Sus scrofa: one gene and its partners. The protein of the gene in region 1 binds, or shares a complex with, the protein of each later gene. Links are inferred from orthologs where the notes say so. Each region holds a gene or a part of one and is shown on either strand. Other genes may lie near its edges. The genes, in order: PIGQ, PIGH and PIGY.

Region 1 (4,120 bases):
CAGGCAGGATCTCCCGCTGGCGCCGCAGCCCCTGCCTCCTAATCAGACAGAAGCCGGCGGGGAGGGTGTGGCTGGGCTGGGCTCATCAGGGCAGTCTGGGAAGGGGCGCGGCCCCTCACAGTCCCCCATTTTCAGAGGCGCCCCAGGTTCTGAGCCTCCTGCAGCTTCTCTGGCCTCAGCCGAGGTAAGGGGGGGCAGAAGAGGGGCTGCCCTGGAGGCGCCCTGGGCTGTCACGTGGCTGAGCTGTGAACCTCCAGGCTCCTGGGCGTCTTCTCCCACAGGAGGCTGTCTGAGCCGTCGTTTCCTCCTCCGCAAACGAGGCTGCAAGGGCATGGGGACAGTTCTTGTGAGGACAGACTCCTGCTGCTGAAAAACAGCAGGAACAGGAGGCCCGGAGGGGCGGGCAGGTGCGGGGTTACTCTGAGTCTGGGGCCCAGCCTTGCTCCCAGTTCCAGTGAGGGGGTCTTCAGGGGGAGGGGACAGTGCCTAGTCCTGCCCGGGCGGCTGGTGAGGGATGCTTCTGCCTCTCACAAGGACTGTGGTTTAGGGGTCTGTGGTTTGGGCCATTGCCTGACAAGGTCCCGCCTATATGTTCCGGCTCTGCGGAGGTGGCGGTGGGTTAGCGGGTCAGTGTGGAAAGTTCTGTTGCCGGTTCTCAGTAAACATTAGTTGCTGCTGCTGGTGTTGGGGGTATTTTTCCCTGGAGCAGGAGGGGCCATCAGATCGGATGGCTTCAGCCTCTGGGCTGGCCCTCCAAGCTCACGTGGCCCCTGCAGGAACCAGGATGCTGGGAGAGGGGAGCCGGGAGATCCCACCCAGGACTTGGGGTCCTTTCACCTGGATGGTGGGGGGCAAGGAGAGGGCGGGGATCCTCATTTGTCAGGTCTAATGGGTCCCCAGACGAGGAAACTCGGGATGGGAGAGAGGTTTGGTGGCTGCGGCAAGGTGGATGACTGGAAGGCAGGGGTGTTGGGGACACTGTGGGTAGGCTGGAGGTGGGACAAGGGCTTTGTGCACAGAGCGTGAGGAGGACCAAGGTGCGCGGCGTGGGTCGGGCAGACGGGGACGCTATGGCAACAAGGGAGTCATTCTGGCCACACTGGCTCGAGGGTCCGGAACGTTGCATGCGGGGAACGCTTGTGCGTGAGGCCGGCGGGCAGCCCGGGCACATTTGGGGACGGACCGTAGCGCGGCAACGCCGGGAGCGGGCGGAAATGGGGCTCCTGTCCCGCGGCACGGCCGCGGCGGGGCTGGGGGCCGTGAGCGCCGTCGTCCGCCCGGGCCCACCCGTCGTTGTCCCCAACCCCATCCCGACCCTGCCGCCCGAGGGGGCGGCCCCGGGGAGCAGCCGGTGAGCACTCAGGGGGCGGGCCAGCGTCCTGCGGCGCGACCTTGGGGAGCTGCCCCCGCCGGCCTGTGGTCCCGACTCCCGCCGCGCCGCCCGACAGACCCGGGAGCCCGAGGGTCTCCGGAGCCGCGCTGGCCTCCTGCTTCTCGGAGCTTCTGTTTCCTCATTTGTAAAATAGGGACGCTGCCGGCCAGGGCGGGCTTGAGACTTGGGAGGGCGGTGAGGCCCCGCCGGGTCCTCCTGGGGCCCGTCCGCCAAGCCCCGCGTTTGCGGCGGGGCGGCGTGGGTGCCCTGGCGAGGAATCTGGTCCCGGCCCTGTGGGGTGAAGGGAGGCCAGCCGGGTCCCTCTGGCCCAACCTGGTTCCCGCTGTGGACTCTTTGGAAGGGCATTCAGGGTCATTGGAACCGGCTGTCAGCACTTTACAGCTGTCCCTGACTGCAGTAAAGGGCAAAACCCAGAGCCCTAGATTCGTGTCTCTTCTTCTGAAATGAGAGAAGAAAAGCACTGTTTACTGAACGCTTGTTGTGTTCTAAACACAAACACATAGAGTAAGAACGGATCTTGTGAGCTCTTGAGGAGCGCGAGTCTCCACAGGGGAGGGCTAGAGACGTCCCTGGCTGGTTGTAACTGGGCTTTTGCCCTGGATCCACTCGCGCAGAGGTGGGAGGCCTTCAGCCTCATGAGGTAGGCTACTGAGTTGAGCTTGCCAGGCGCCGGGCATGCCCGCATTGGCCTTCCCCAACGGATCTGGAACGGGCCGGGTCCCAGAGGACAGACCGTCATTCTTAACAGAGGCAGCTTTCCCAGGCTTGTGCACAGTCTTTAAAGATGTTCGAGGCGCGGGGTTGCTGCCTGCTCCCTCCCGTCTGCACCTCTGCTATCGATTGCCTGCTCTTTCATCTTTTCCTGGCGGTCTGATCTGAGAGCCTTCTTTGTGCTGGTCCCGCCCAGAGGCTGAGGCGGGGTGGGGATGGAAGCTTGCCCCATGATTTAAGAGAAGAGCGCTCTCTCTGCCCCACGGACGGGAACACCACCCTTTGCTCTCTGCTCTTCCCTAGACAAGAGGAGCTTTTTTTGGGAAAAGTTTGTAGATGAAGCATAAAACACACAAAGAAAGTGCACCTACAGGTACAGCTCAATGAATTTTCTGAAAGTGAACTCAGTGTGTAGCCCACTTCCCCCAGAGCCCCTGCTCGCTCTTTTGCCCGTGGCCTGCAGCAGCTTGATGTGATCTCAGTTCCCAGGCCGGGAACAGAACCCAGGCCGCAGCAGTGAAAGCTCCAGGTCTTCACCGCTAGACCCCAGGGAACTCCCTCCCACCAGTTGTGTTCAGTTTCTGACATCGGCTACGGGCAGTTTTCCTTAGGTCCTGTGAAAGGAGTCCCAGGCAGGGTGTGATGCTGTCATTTGGCTGAGCTGGTGTGTCCGATGGGCTGGTGCTGAGAGGCTTGGACCAGGCTGGCTGGTCCCCCAGGTGGTCACCCAACCAGATGTGCCAGGACCCTAAGGCAGAACGGCTCTGTCCTCACAGTGCCCCTCAGAAGGGTCAGGAAGGCCAGCTGGTCCTTGCTGATGGCCACAGAGACTTTCTCCTGGAGACACTCGCGTGGCTGGCCCTCTCTGGTCTCTGGGCAGAGGGGCATTTGGAAGCCTGGCTGCTGGTTGACTCAGGGGACCCTTTCCATTCAGAACCCACAGGTGGGAGAGGCCTCCCCCTTCAGCTGTGCCCTGACTACCTGGCGGGAGGAAAGCAGCTGCACCTGTTGCCCCTCCCAGACTGCTCTAACCCTCAGGAAAGGCATGTCCTCAACATGTGTGTCCTACTCTGTCCCCTGTTCCCCAAGGCTAGTTGGAGGTCCTGTAAGGCTGGGAAGGCTGGCGTCCCCTCTGCTGTTCCCCTGGTGGGAGAACTTCTAGACCCCTCCTTGGTCAGGGGAGTGGGTCCTAGAGGAGGGCGGGGCTCCAGGGAGGGGGGGCAGAGCTGAGTGCTGGAGGCTCCAGTGGTCTGGTGGTCGTAGAGAAAACCCTAGGCAGCTGGCCTGTGCCCTGGGCGCTGAGGCTCCCCGGGGGAGGGTGCGGGCTCCCTGGGGCATCAGGCCTGCCCCCAGGCATCTTCTGGGCCCGCCTGTGCCAGAGCCAGCTGCCAGTGCCGGTGCCCTGCCTCATTTCCTTCAGCTCAGCAGCCATTTAATTTTTCGTCTTTGTTCTCGCTAACTTAGAAAATCAAGGTTTGTTAGATTTTTAATTTACATTAGTTGTTCATGAGATCGTACGTTTTTCTATGTGTATGCAAAGAACTGTCATCAGGTCCTTAAAAACAAAAATTGCACCCTTGTGCCCAGCTCTGTGCAGTGCCCCCCCCCAGCTTGCTCGGCTCTGAAGGGGGACGTGTGCCCCTGCCTCAGGGTGGGGTGGGAGCAGCCTGGGCCGAAGACGGACAGCCGGGCCTCCCCACCAGCCTTGTGACCAGACCCAAAGCTGGGTCACCCCGACCTGTGGGCCCAGCGGCCAGTGGATGTGTCTGTCAGGGCCGACTGGGCCACATGTGGGCCAGGGCCCACAGGTCGGGCGCTGCCAGCCAGCCCGTGGTGCTTGCGGCACAGTGGCGGCGGCGGCGGCAGCTCTGAGCGGAGCCCTCCCCCCTCTCTTCCAGCGTCCCCAGCATGGTACTCAAGGCCTTCTTCCCCACGTGCTGCGCCTCGGCGGACAGCGGCCTCCTGGTTGGACGGTGGGTCCCTGAGCAGAGCAGTGCCGTGGTCCTGGCCGTGGTG
Region 2 (4,120 bases), on another chromosome or scaffold:
TCTTCCCCAGTTTCCCTTCAGTAATCTCACAAGCAAACTGCGTAAACAAGATAGCCTCTAAAGAAAGGTCAGAAGAAGTAGATGAGCCTGCACACAGTGGGAGATGTCGACGAATCGGACCGCCTACCTCAGTAATTAACTGAGATTACTTCCCTTTCTCCCTTGAAAACCTTCATGGCCAAACAGAATCTTGGGAGCTGGTCTTGTTATAGGGGTCCACTTTCTCCCCAGATTGCCAGCTTTTGATTAAAGCAATCTGTTTCTACCAGCACTTGCCTCTTGAGTATTGACTTTTTAGCAGCAAGCAGCAAGACTGGAATTTGTCAACAAAATGTGTTATATTTGTCTTTTTAATGTAAAATTTCTTTTTCTTTTTTTTTTTTTTTTGTCTTTTTGCCATTTCTTGGGCTACTCCTGCGGCATATGGAGGTTCCCAGGCTAGGGGTCGAATCGGAGCTGTAGCCACCAGCCCGTGCCAGAGTCACAGCAACTCAGGATCCGAGCAGCATCTGTGACCTACACCATAGCTCACGGCCATGCCACATCTTTAACGCACTGAGCAAGGCCAGGGATCGAATCCGAAACCTCATGGTCCCTAGTTGGATTAGTTAACCACTGATCCACAACGGGAACTCCAAATGTAAATATTTCTTGATCAATTTCACAAAAAACTGCAATAAGATTTACGAGTTCTTTTTGTTGGTTTTTTATTTTTTAATTAAAAAAATTTTTAGGGCTGCATCTGCAGTATATGGAAATTTCCAGGCTAGGAGTAGAATCAGAGATACAGCTGCAGCAACTTGGGATCCAAACTGCATCTGCAACCTATACCACAGCTCCCCGCAATGCTGGATCCTTAACTGACTGAACACGGCCAGGGATCGAACCCAGGTGTTCATGGATACTAGTCGGGTTCTTAACCCACTGGCCACAAAGGGAACTCCTTTGATGGCAGAAGGAAGGGATAATAATTAGACTCATCATCTTCCGCTCTTGCTAACCTCCCAGCCAGGATTTGTCTGCCTACTCAATGCTCCAGGCAGTGGTTTGGGAGAGAGGACACCTAGCCAGTGAGATCTAAACTCCTTACCAAGCCCTATACAAAATCCTCCTGGTTCTGACCGCTACCTACCTCCCAACAGCCGACTGCATTCCTTATGCGTCAGCCTCTCTGACCTTTTGATTCCTTCAATAAGCCGATCTTGTTCCAGCCTCGGGGGCTTTCTTTTTCCTGGTCCTCCTTCCTGGCAAATTTCTTCTCCAGACCTGCCTCAGACCAGTCTGGCACCTTATACTTGTAGCTCCAGTGTCTCATCTCAGAGGATGTCGTCTGTCCTCTTCAAAGTCCTCGAGTAGCCCTGCAGGTCCTATTATTGCCAAGAGCACTCTGAGATTATTTCCATATTGTTTCTCTTAATAGGAAGGAAACTACTAGAAAGCAGGGATTTTGTCAATACTGTTTACCGCTGTACCCCTTCAGCACCTAAAACTACCTTGCACCGGGATGAATGAATGAATGAATGAACAAATACCTGCGGGCTGTCTCCTTGGGCGTACTCTGGCTTAGAAATAGAAATCAGTTTGTTGGGCGAAAGCACATTAACAGCTGTTTTAATCTGCCCGCTGAGGCCTTGGCCCCCTTTGAATCTCTGGGGTAGATAATCTTCAAATCCCTCTGGGCCAGGGCGTGGAAAAACCTAAACCCGAAGAGCGTCCCTCCTGTCGGCGGCGGAACTGCGGCTGCGCGCAGCCGGGGGAGGGGCGTGGCCAACCCCGCTCGGGAAGCTCGCCCAGAGCCGGCGAGAGGACGCTGGAGGGCGCGCCAGACGCCGCGGCGTGGCCTGGTGGAGGCGAGCCGGCCATGGAGGACGAGCAGAGCTTCTCAGACATCTGCGGGGGCCGCCTGGCCCTGCAGCGGCGCTACTACTCCCCGTCCTGCCGGGAGTTCTGTCTCAGCTGCCCTCGGATCTCGTTCCGCTCGCTCACCGCAGTCACCTGCACCGTGTGGCTGGCGGCCTACGGACTCTTCACGCTTTGCGAGGTAAGGCCGGCCGGCCCCTTCCCGCGGGCCGGAGTCGGAGGCTCGGCTTTAGAAGGGTCTTGGGTTGAGCCCAGACCTCTCGCCGGACCCTCCTCCAGTCGCAGGGCTGGAGGGAGGGAACGGGAGGGTTCTGGGGACGCCATTCCGCTGCTGGACAGCTCTCCTCCTTAGGTTTAGTGACGTTTGTGCTCCTGTACTTTATCCCGCTCACGGGCCGCTGCTCTGCTCCCTGGTTCCACCCAGCATACAGATGGAGCTCGTCCTTGCACGACAGTCCAAAACATTAACTTCCCCGTGCTCTCTGTAGTCCACGCGCATGGTCATTCAGGTCCAAGAGTTCAAGAGAACTAAATGGATCGTCATCATCCATCACTTCCACTCCTCAGAGGAATCACTGCTAACAGTACCTTAAAGTCTTCTAGAAACTGCCTGTGCCGCCACAGTAATGTCTTTGCCTCCGTGTGTCTTTGCCTCCGCAGTTCACACAAGCAAGTTAAGAGTTTGATATAGTTCTTCCTAATCTCCTTTTCAAGGCAGCCTAACTCCTCCTCCTCCCGATCCCTTCCCCAAACTTAAATTGTGAAATTTTGGACATGGGTGGTTTCTATGCTCAGTTCTAGACTCATTCCCTTTTTCTGGGCCTCAATGTTCACGTCTCCAAAATGCAATTAATATCTGCCACGCCACTTTCACAGCATTGTGAGGGTCACATGTAGTGGCTTTGTGACAGCCCTCAAATAAAAGGAATCATCCTTATTGTTTTCTTCAGTAATTTAGTTTCGTATGTAGTGCCCTAAATTGAATGTATTATCCCAGGAGTGACCTAACTAGAGCTAAGTACAGCAAGGCTATTTATTTCTATAGTTTGGGTATTGTTTCCCATACTGCATCCATTAATTTGTACCAAATTGCATTGAAAAGCTTGTTTGTAAGTCACTCGAATTGGTTAAGTTGCCAGGACCGTCCTTCCCCTTCCGTAAAAAGATTTAATATATAATATAGCTGAACTTCAATACGAGCTTGAGCTCTGACCATGTAGTCATGTGAGGAAGAGGGAACAGGTATTTTTATTAAATGCCCACCAAGTGCCTGCTGCTTTACTAAATGCCTTGTTTCAACCTTAGAAGAAAATCAAGACTCAGAGTAATAACTTATCCGAAGTGATAAAGCTAGTAAATGGCATACCTGGGTTTCAAACCCAGGGCTGACTCTGAAACCATTTCTTCTCACTACACTATGATGTCTCCTCCTTGGGGAGGGCTTACTTAGGCAAAATTTTTAAATAGGGGAAGTTTGTTATTGTGCCAGCTCCCTTTTGTATGCATTTCTCCCATCCTGGTATATCCCACTTACCCCATCAAATGTCCAGGCTCCGTAACTTCAGCTTCCTTTAAACTCCACTGCAACACTTCTTAAGGGCCCTGTGCACCAAAATTTCTTTTCTTTCCTCCTATTCAAAACTATTAGAGTAATGAATCTCAGCTAGAATGAGAAGTCTGATGAAGAAATTCCTTAAAACATGTGGCTTAACTTCAACCCAAACGAATACTGAATTGTTAGAATTTCAGAAAGAAAAATGAAGTATAAAAAATTGTAGGTAGTGGAGTTCCCATCGTGGCGCAGTGGAAACAGATCCAACTAGGAATCATGAGGTTGCAGGTTCAGTCCCTGGCTCACTCAGTGGGTTAAGGATCTGATGTTGCCGTGAGCTGTGGTGTAGGTCGCAGATGAAGCTCAGATCTGGTGTTGCTGTGGCTGTGGTGTAGGCTGGCAGCTGTAGCTCCGATTAGACCCCTGGCCTGGGAACCTCCATATGCCGCGGATGCAGCCCTAAAGTGCAAAAAAAAAAAAAATGTAGGTAGTAATGAAGTTTGGGGCAAGGATTACTTTCTAGAAATGCTAATATGGGTCAAATCCCCTAAGTATATCATGTTCTTCATCCCTTCTTTCCTCCCAGTTTTTGAACTCACAGTTCTGTTGGAATTCTAAGTCTTTATTTATTCCTAGAATATCGACCTCCTTCCTTTTCTCAGCTAAGTATATCTGTCAATAACCACTACCTCCTCTGTACCAGCTAAA
Region 3 (4,120 bases), on another chromosome or scaffold:
ACTGGGCTGCAAAGAATAGAGAAAATAAAAATGACAACATATGCCATTAACTGAGCATTCATTTGCCACAGGCATTTTTCTAAATACTCTTTGCATTCATTAGCACATTTTAAGCCCCAGGATGGAATTATATGAGGTAGGAACAATAATTAATCTAATTACACAGATAAGAAAGCTGGGGAGGGAGTTCCCGTCGTGGTGCAGTGGTTAACGAATCCGACTAGGAACCATGAGGTTGCGGGTTTGGTCCCTGCCCTTGCTCAGTGGGTCAAGGTTCCGGCGTTGCCGTGAGCTGTGGTGTAGGTTGCAGACGCGGCTCGGATCCCGCGTGGCTGTGGCTCTGGCGTAGGCCGGCGGCTACAGCTCCGATTCGACCTCTAGCCCGGGAACCTCCATATGCCGCGGGAGCGGCCCAAGAAATGGCAAAAAGACAAAAAAAAAAAAAAAAAAAAAAAAAAGAAAAAGAAAAGAAAGCTGGGGAGTTAGGAGATTTGCGGGAGCCCTACAACTAGTAAACGATGCACCTGGGACCAAGGTGTCAGGCCCGGACCCCCGGCACTTACCTCCTACACTATAAGAAAGAGATCAAATCCGCATCATTTTCTGGGAGAGTCAGAAGCAAATGCGGGGCGAGAAAAAAACCACTGTGTGGATCACCCACTTAATTAAAGGACACAGTTACTTAGACTCCTTGCGGTTTCCAAGCTCATTTACAGAAGCAAATGAGTGGTGCTATTATTATGCCATTGAGCCCAGGGTAAGAAACTGGGCATCTTAAGTTTAAGAGGACTAAGCCATTCTTTTCCCGTTCTTATATTTTTTTTAATGAAAGGAGAAAAAAAAAAAGCCAAACAAGGTTATAGGAAGTGTGGTACTGCAAAGACTGACAGATACACATAAAACAAGTAATGCTTTTTAACATACCCAGTGTGACAGTGTGTTGGAAACCTCCTTTTGGTGATAACCACGGAGGTCCAAGTCTATCACTGTGTGACTCTGAGGTCCGGCCACTGGCTTCCTGGAGGCCCTGCGACAGGCCCTGGTGAAAACTCAGGACGCCTCCACTTGAGCGTGGGTTTTGTCTGCAACCTGCAAACGGGCAGGAAGAGCCGCAGAAAGCCCAGGCTGCAGGCGGGGCTCTCCATACCGAGCGGTGCCGCGGGAAAAGCAGTCGGGTCCCGAGCGCCCTCGGAACCAAAGAGCGGGCCTCCAGCCGTCGGGGGCAGCGTTTCCCGAGCACCGGGGGGCGGGGCCTGGCCGCCTGGGCGGGACTCCCCGGGATCGGCTGGAGCGGCCGGAGCGGCCCAGGGGGTGCGGAGGTCCGCGCGCCGGCGGCCAGACCATGCTGAGCGGAGCGCGCGGTCGGCTCGCCTTAGCGCTGCGAGGGACACGCGCGCCGCCGTCCGCGGTCGCCAGGAGGTGCCTGCACGCTTCGGGCTCGCGGCCGTCCGCGGACGAGAACAAGAAGGAGGGGAAACCGCCACGCGCCTTCGACCCGGCGCTGCTGGAGTTCTTGGTGTGCCCGCTGTCCAAGAAGCCGCTCAGGTAAGATTCGTCCGCTGCGGCTTTTCCCTGGTGGCCCCCTGTCGCCGGGGAGACGTTCAGGTCACCCGGGTGTTCTTCGCTGCCATGTTTTGGACCCGGGCCCGCCAGCTTCCCGGGTACTCGCTCCGCCGCGGGAAGGGCGGGAGGAGGCCCCAGCCGAGCCCCAGGCCTCCCGGACCAAACCGGCCACTCGCAGGCCTGGATCCTGGCGGGCAGCTTCTCCGCCGGCAGCGTTTTAGAATCTCGGGGGAATCCTTCTTAAAACGCAGATCTCTAGGCAACGCCCCACCCGGGCTCAATCCGAAGGCCTTGGGGCCGAGCCAGAGCAACTGCGTATTTTCTTGAAAGGATCCCAAGTGATCTTCCTGTACAGCCAGGGTTATGAACTCGGGATTCGGAAGACTAATCCATGGCATTCAGATTTTTAAGGCAAGGCGATGAAAAATGTGATAGCTTCCAGATTGTTGCGAAAACGCCGGGTAGGATCTTAAGCGCATCAGCTACGTGTGCGGCCCTTTGGTTTTTAGTTCTCGACCAGCCGGTTCTGTAAAGGCCTTCTTAACCTTTCACCTAGACTCTTTAGGATAAACATCTCTGCAGTTGCAGGCTGCTAAACCTGAACGTGGACAATACTAGCAAACACCGCAGTGTCATCAGTGGCTGCCTTTGGGTGGTAGATTGCTGCTTCCGTGGTTTCCTTCTCATGGATCAGTGAGGCAGGTGTTCTGATAAGCGAAGAAGCTGAATTTTCCTCTCGTGTCTGTTCCAGTAGTAAATTAGCTGGGATCGTTTGAGGGTTTAAAAGAGTCATGAAGGAATATTTGGATGAAAAGGAGAGATCTTTTCTTTTTTTTTTTCCACTAAGGCATAGCTTAAGAATAACGTGAAAAAGAAAATGAGAGAAACAGACTAAAATGGGAACAATTAGAGATTCCTTTTCTAAGAGAAATGGTTGAATTGGCTACTGCTGCTTTTAGAATGAAAAACAGTCTAATTCTGCTTTTCTGGCTCTAACTGTGTGAAGAATTGGATAAATGTTACTGTTTATTGAACCTCAGACTCTTCCGGGATTCATTTTGGTTTTCTTCTGCCCCTCAGATATGAACCATCGACAAATGAATTGATTAATGAAGAGCTGGGAATAGCCTATCCGATTATTGACGGGATTCCTAATATGATACCACAGGCAGCTAGGATGACACATCAAAATAAGAAGCAAGAAGAAATGAAGCAGCACTAGGTCATACGTAAACACAACACAAGGAAATTTTCTAAACACCATCCACCTTCGAAGAAGCCAGCGTGGCGGGTGGTGGGTGGGAGAGAAGAATGTTTCTGTCTCTTCCCACGCTGACTGTCCTTGTCCCCCTGGTCTCTCTGGGAGGACTGCTGTACTCCGCCTCCGTGGAAGAGAGCTTCCCCCAGGGCTGCACCAGCACAGCCAGCCTGTGCTTCTACAGTCTGCTCCTGCCCATCACCATCCCCGTTTACGTGTTCTTCCACCTCTGGACTTGGATGGGTATTAAACTCTTCCGGCATAATTAACGCAGCCGGAGCCACGATGGTATTTAAACTCATGATATGCTTGAGTGAGTGTGTCCGAAAGCTCCGCCACATGGAAATACTGGAAACCCAGACTTTGCAGGAAAGAGGCTTTGCTTATTAGCCTTTGTCAGAGGTTTAGGACTATGTGACGTTTAAGCTGCAAGAGGCTTCTTTCTTGTATTTTGGTTCTTCCCCTGCTTTTTGAAGGTTCTGATTTATACCTGGTCTCTCGGAAGAAACATTTCAACAAAGTGGCTTGTTGGAAATTAGCACCCCCACAGCCATCATCTGATGGCTTGTTCTTATCCCATTCATAATTAAAAATTACTAATTCGAAATTGTAGGTTTGTTTTTAGGTTCAAAGCCTTTGGTAAAGCCACATGTGAAGGATGACTGAGATAATTCCAAGGAGCTATGGGGAGTAATTGTAGAGAAATGCATTTGGACTAGTGTGATATAAAACTATAATAAAATGTAAATTTCATGTACTTGCCAAAATTCTGAGTTGGTAAAATTGCCTTCATTTCTTTGGCATCAGATGGCTTACATTATTAATAAGATATTGACATTTTCCATAAAACAATTTGCAGTTTTGTGTTTGGTTTTTTTTTTTTTTTCCTTTTGGTCACAAGAATATAATTCAAAGACAAGGAAATTATATGTTTAGAGAGGCACCCAAAATAGAACAGAATTTCCCAGGAAAGTATGTGCTGTGAGGAGAGGTGGAATTGAAAGACTGGCAAATAGCTGATTGTGTCCTGTTGAGTTTAGTTAGGGCGATTATTGAGCCACATTTCAGTTTATTTTTCTGCCATAAGAGACCTATTTATTTAGCAATACTAAGGGCATGAGCATTTGACACATTAATAGTTATTGATTTTCCAGAATTTTCAATAAGACTGATTAGTACAATAACTGTTTCAGAAGTATAACAAATGTTTCAGTATTTACCCTCATGAAGCCTAAGAACTCAATGTAACCTTAACTGATTCTTAATAGAATTTTAAAGTAGTGTAAAAGAAGCTTTAGA

What was found.
Region 2: PIGQ (region 1) and PIGH share a complex: the UniProt entries of both Homo sapiens proteins name them as parts of the glycosylphosphatidylinositol-N-acetylglucosaminyltransferase (GPI-GnT) complex. The link is inferred for Sus scrofa from reciprocal best matches to the Homo sapiens genes PIGQ and PIGH.
Region 3: PIGQ (region 1) and PIGY share a complex: the UniProt entries of both Homo sapiens proteins name them as parts of the glycosylphosphatidylinositol-N-acetylglucosaminyltransferase (GPI-GnT) complex. The link is inferred for Sus scrofa from reciprocal best matches to the Homo sapiens genes PIGQ and PIGY.

The regions. Positions count from the first base shown.
Region 1 is NC_010445.4:41,173,418-41,177,537, reverse strand, and holds the start of PIGQ (phosphatidylinositol N-acetylglucosaminyltransferase subunit Q), read left to right. Parts: upstream 1-1,172; 5' UTR 1,173-1,214; coding exon 1,215-1,351; intron 1,352-4,002; coding exon 4,003-4,120. UniProt on the Homo sapiens protein: Part of the glycosylphosphatidylinositol-N-acetylglucosaminyltransferase (GPI-GnT) complex that catalyzes the transfer of N-acetylglucosamine from UDP-N-acetylglucosamine to phosphatidylinositol and participates in the first step of GPI biosynthesis.
Region 2 is NC_010449.5:91,313,987-91,318,106, reverse strand, and holds the start of PIGH (phosphatidylinositol N-acetylglucosaminyltransferase subunit H), read left to right. Parts: upstream 1-1,758; 5' UTR 1,759-1,861; coding exon 1,862-2,041; intron 2,042-4,120. UniProt on the Homo sapiens protein: Part of the glycosylphosphatidylinositol-N-acetylglucosaminyltransferase (GPI-GnT) complex that catalyzes the transfer of N-acetylglucosamine from UDP-N-acetylglucosamine to phosphatidylinositol and participates in the first step of GPI biosynthesis.
Region 3 is NC_010450.4:130,526,301-130,530,420, forward strand, and holds PIGY (phosphatidylinositol N-acetylglucosaminyltransferase subunit Y), read left to right. Parts: upstream 1-1,270; 5' UTR 1,271-1,342; coding exon of another isoform or gene 1,343-1,545; intron 1,546-2,643; coding exon of another isoform or gene 2,644-2,785; 5' UTR 2,786-2,874; coding exon 2,875-3,090; 3' UTR 3,091-3,683; downstream 3,684-4,120. UniProt on the Homo sapiens protein: Part of the glycosylphosphatidylinositol-N-acetylglucosaminyltransferase (GPI-GnT) complex that catalyzes the transfer of N-acetylglucosamine from UDP-N-acetylglucosamine to phosphatidylinositol and participates in the first step of GPI biosynthesis.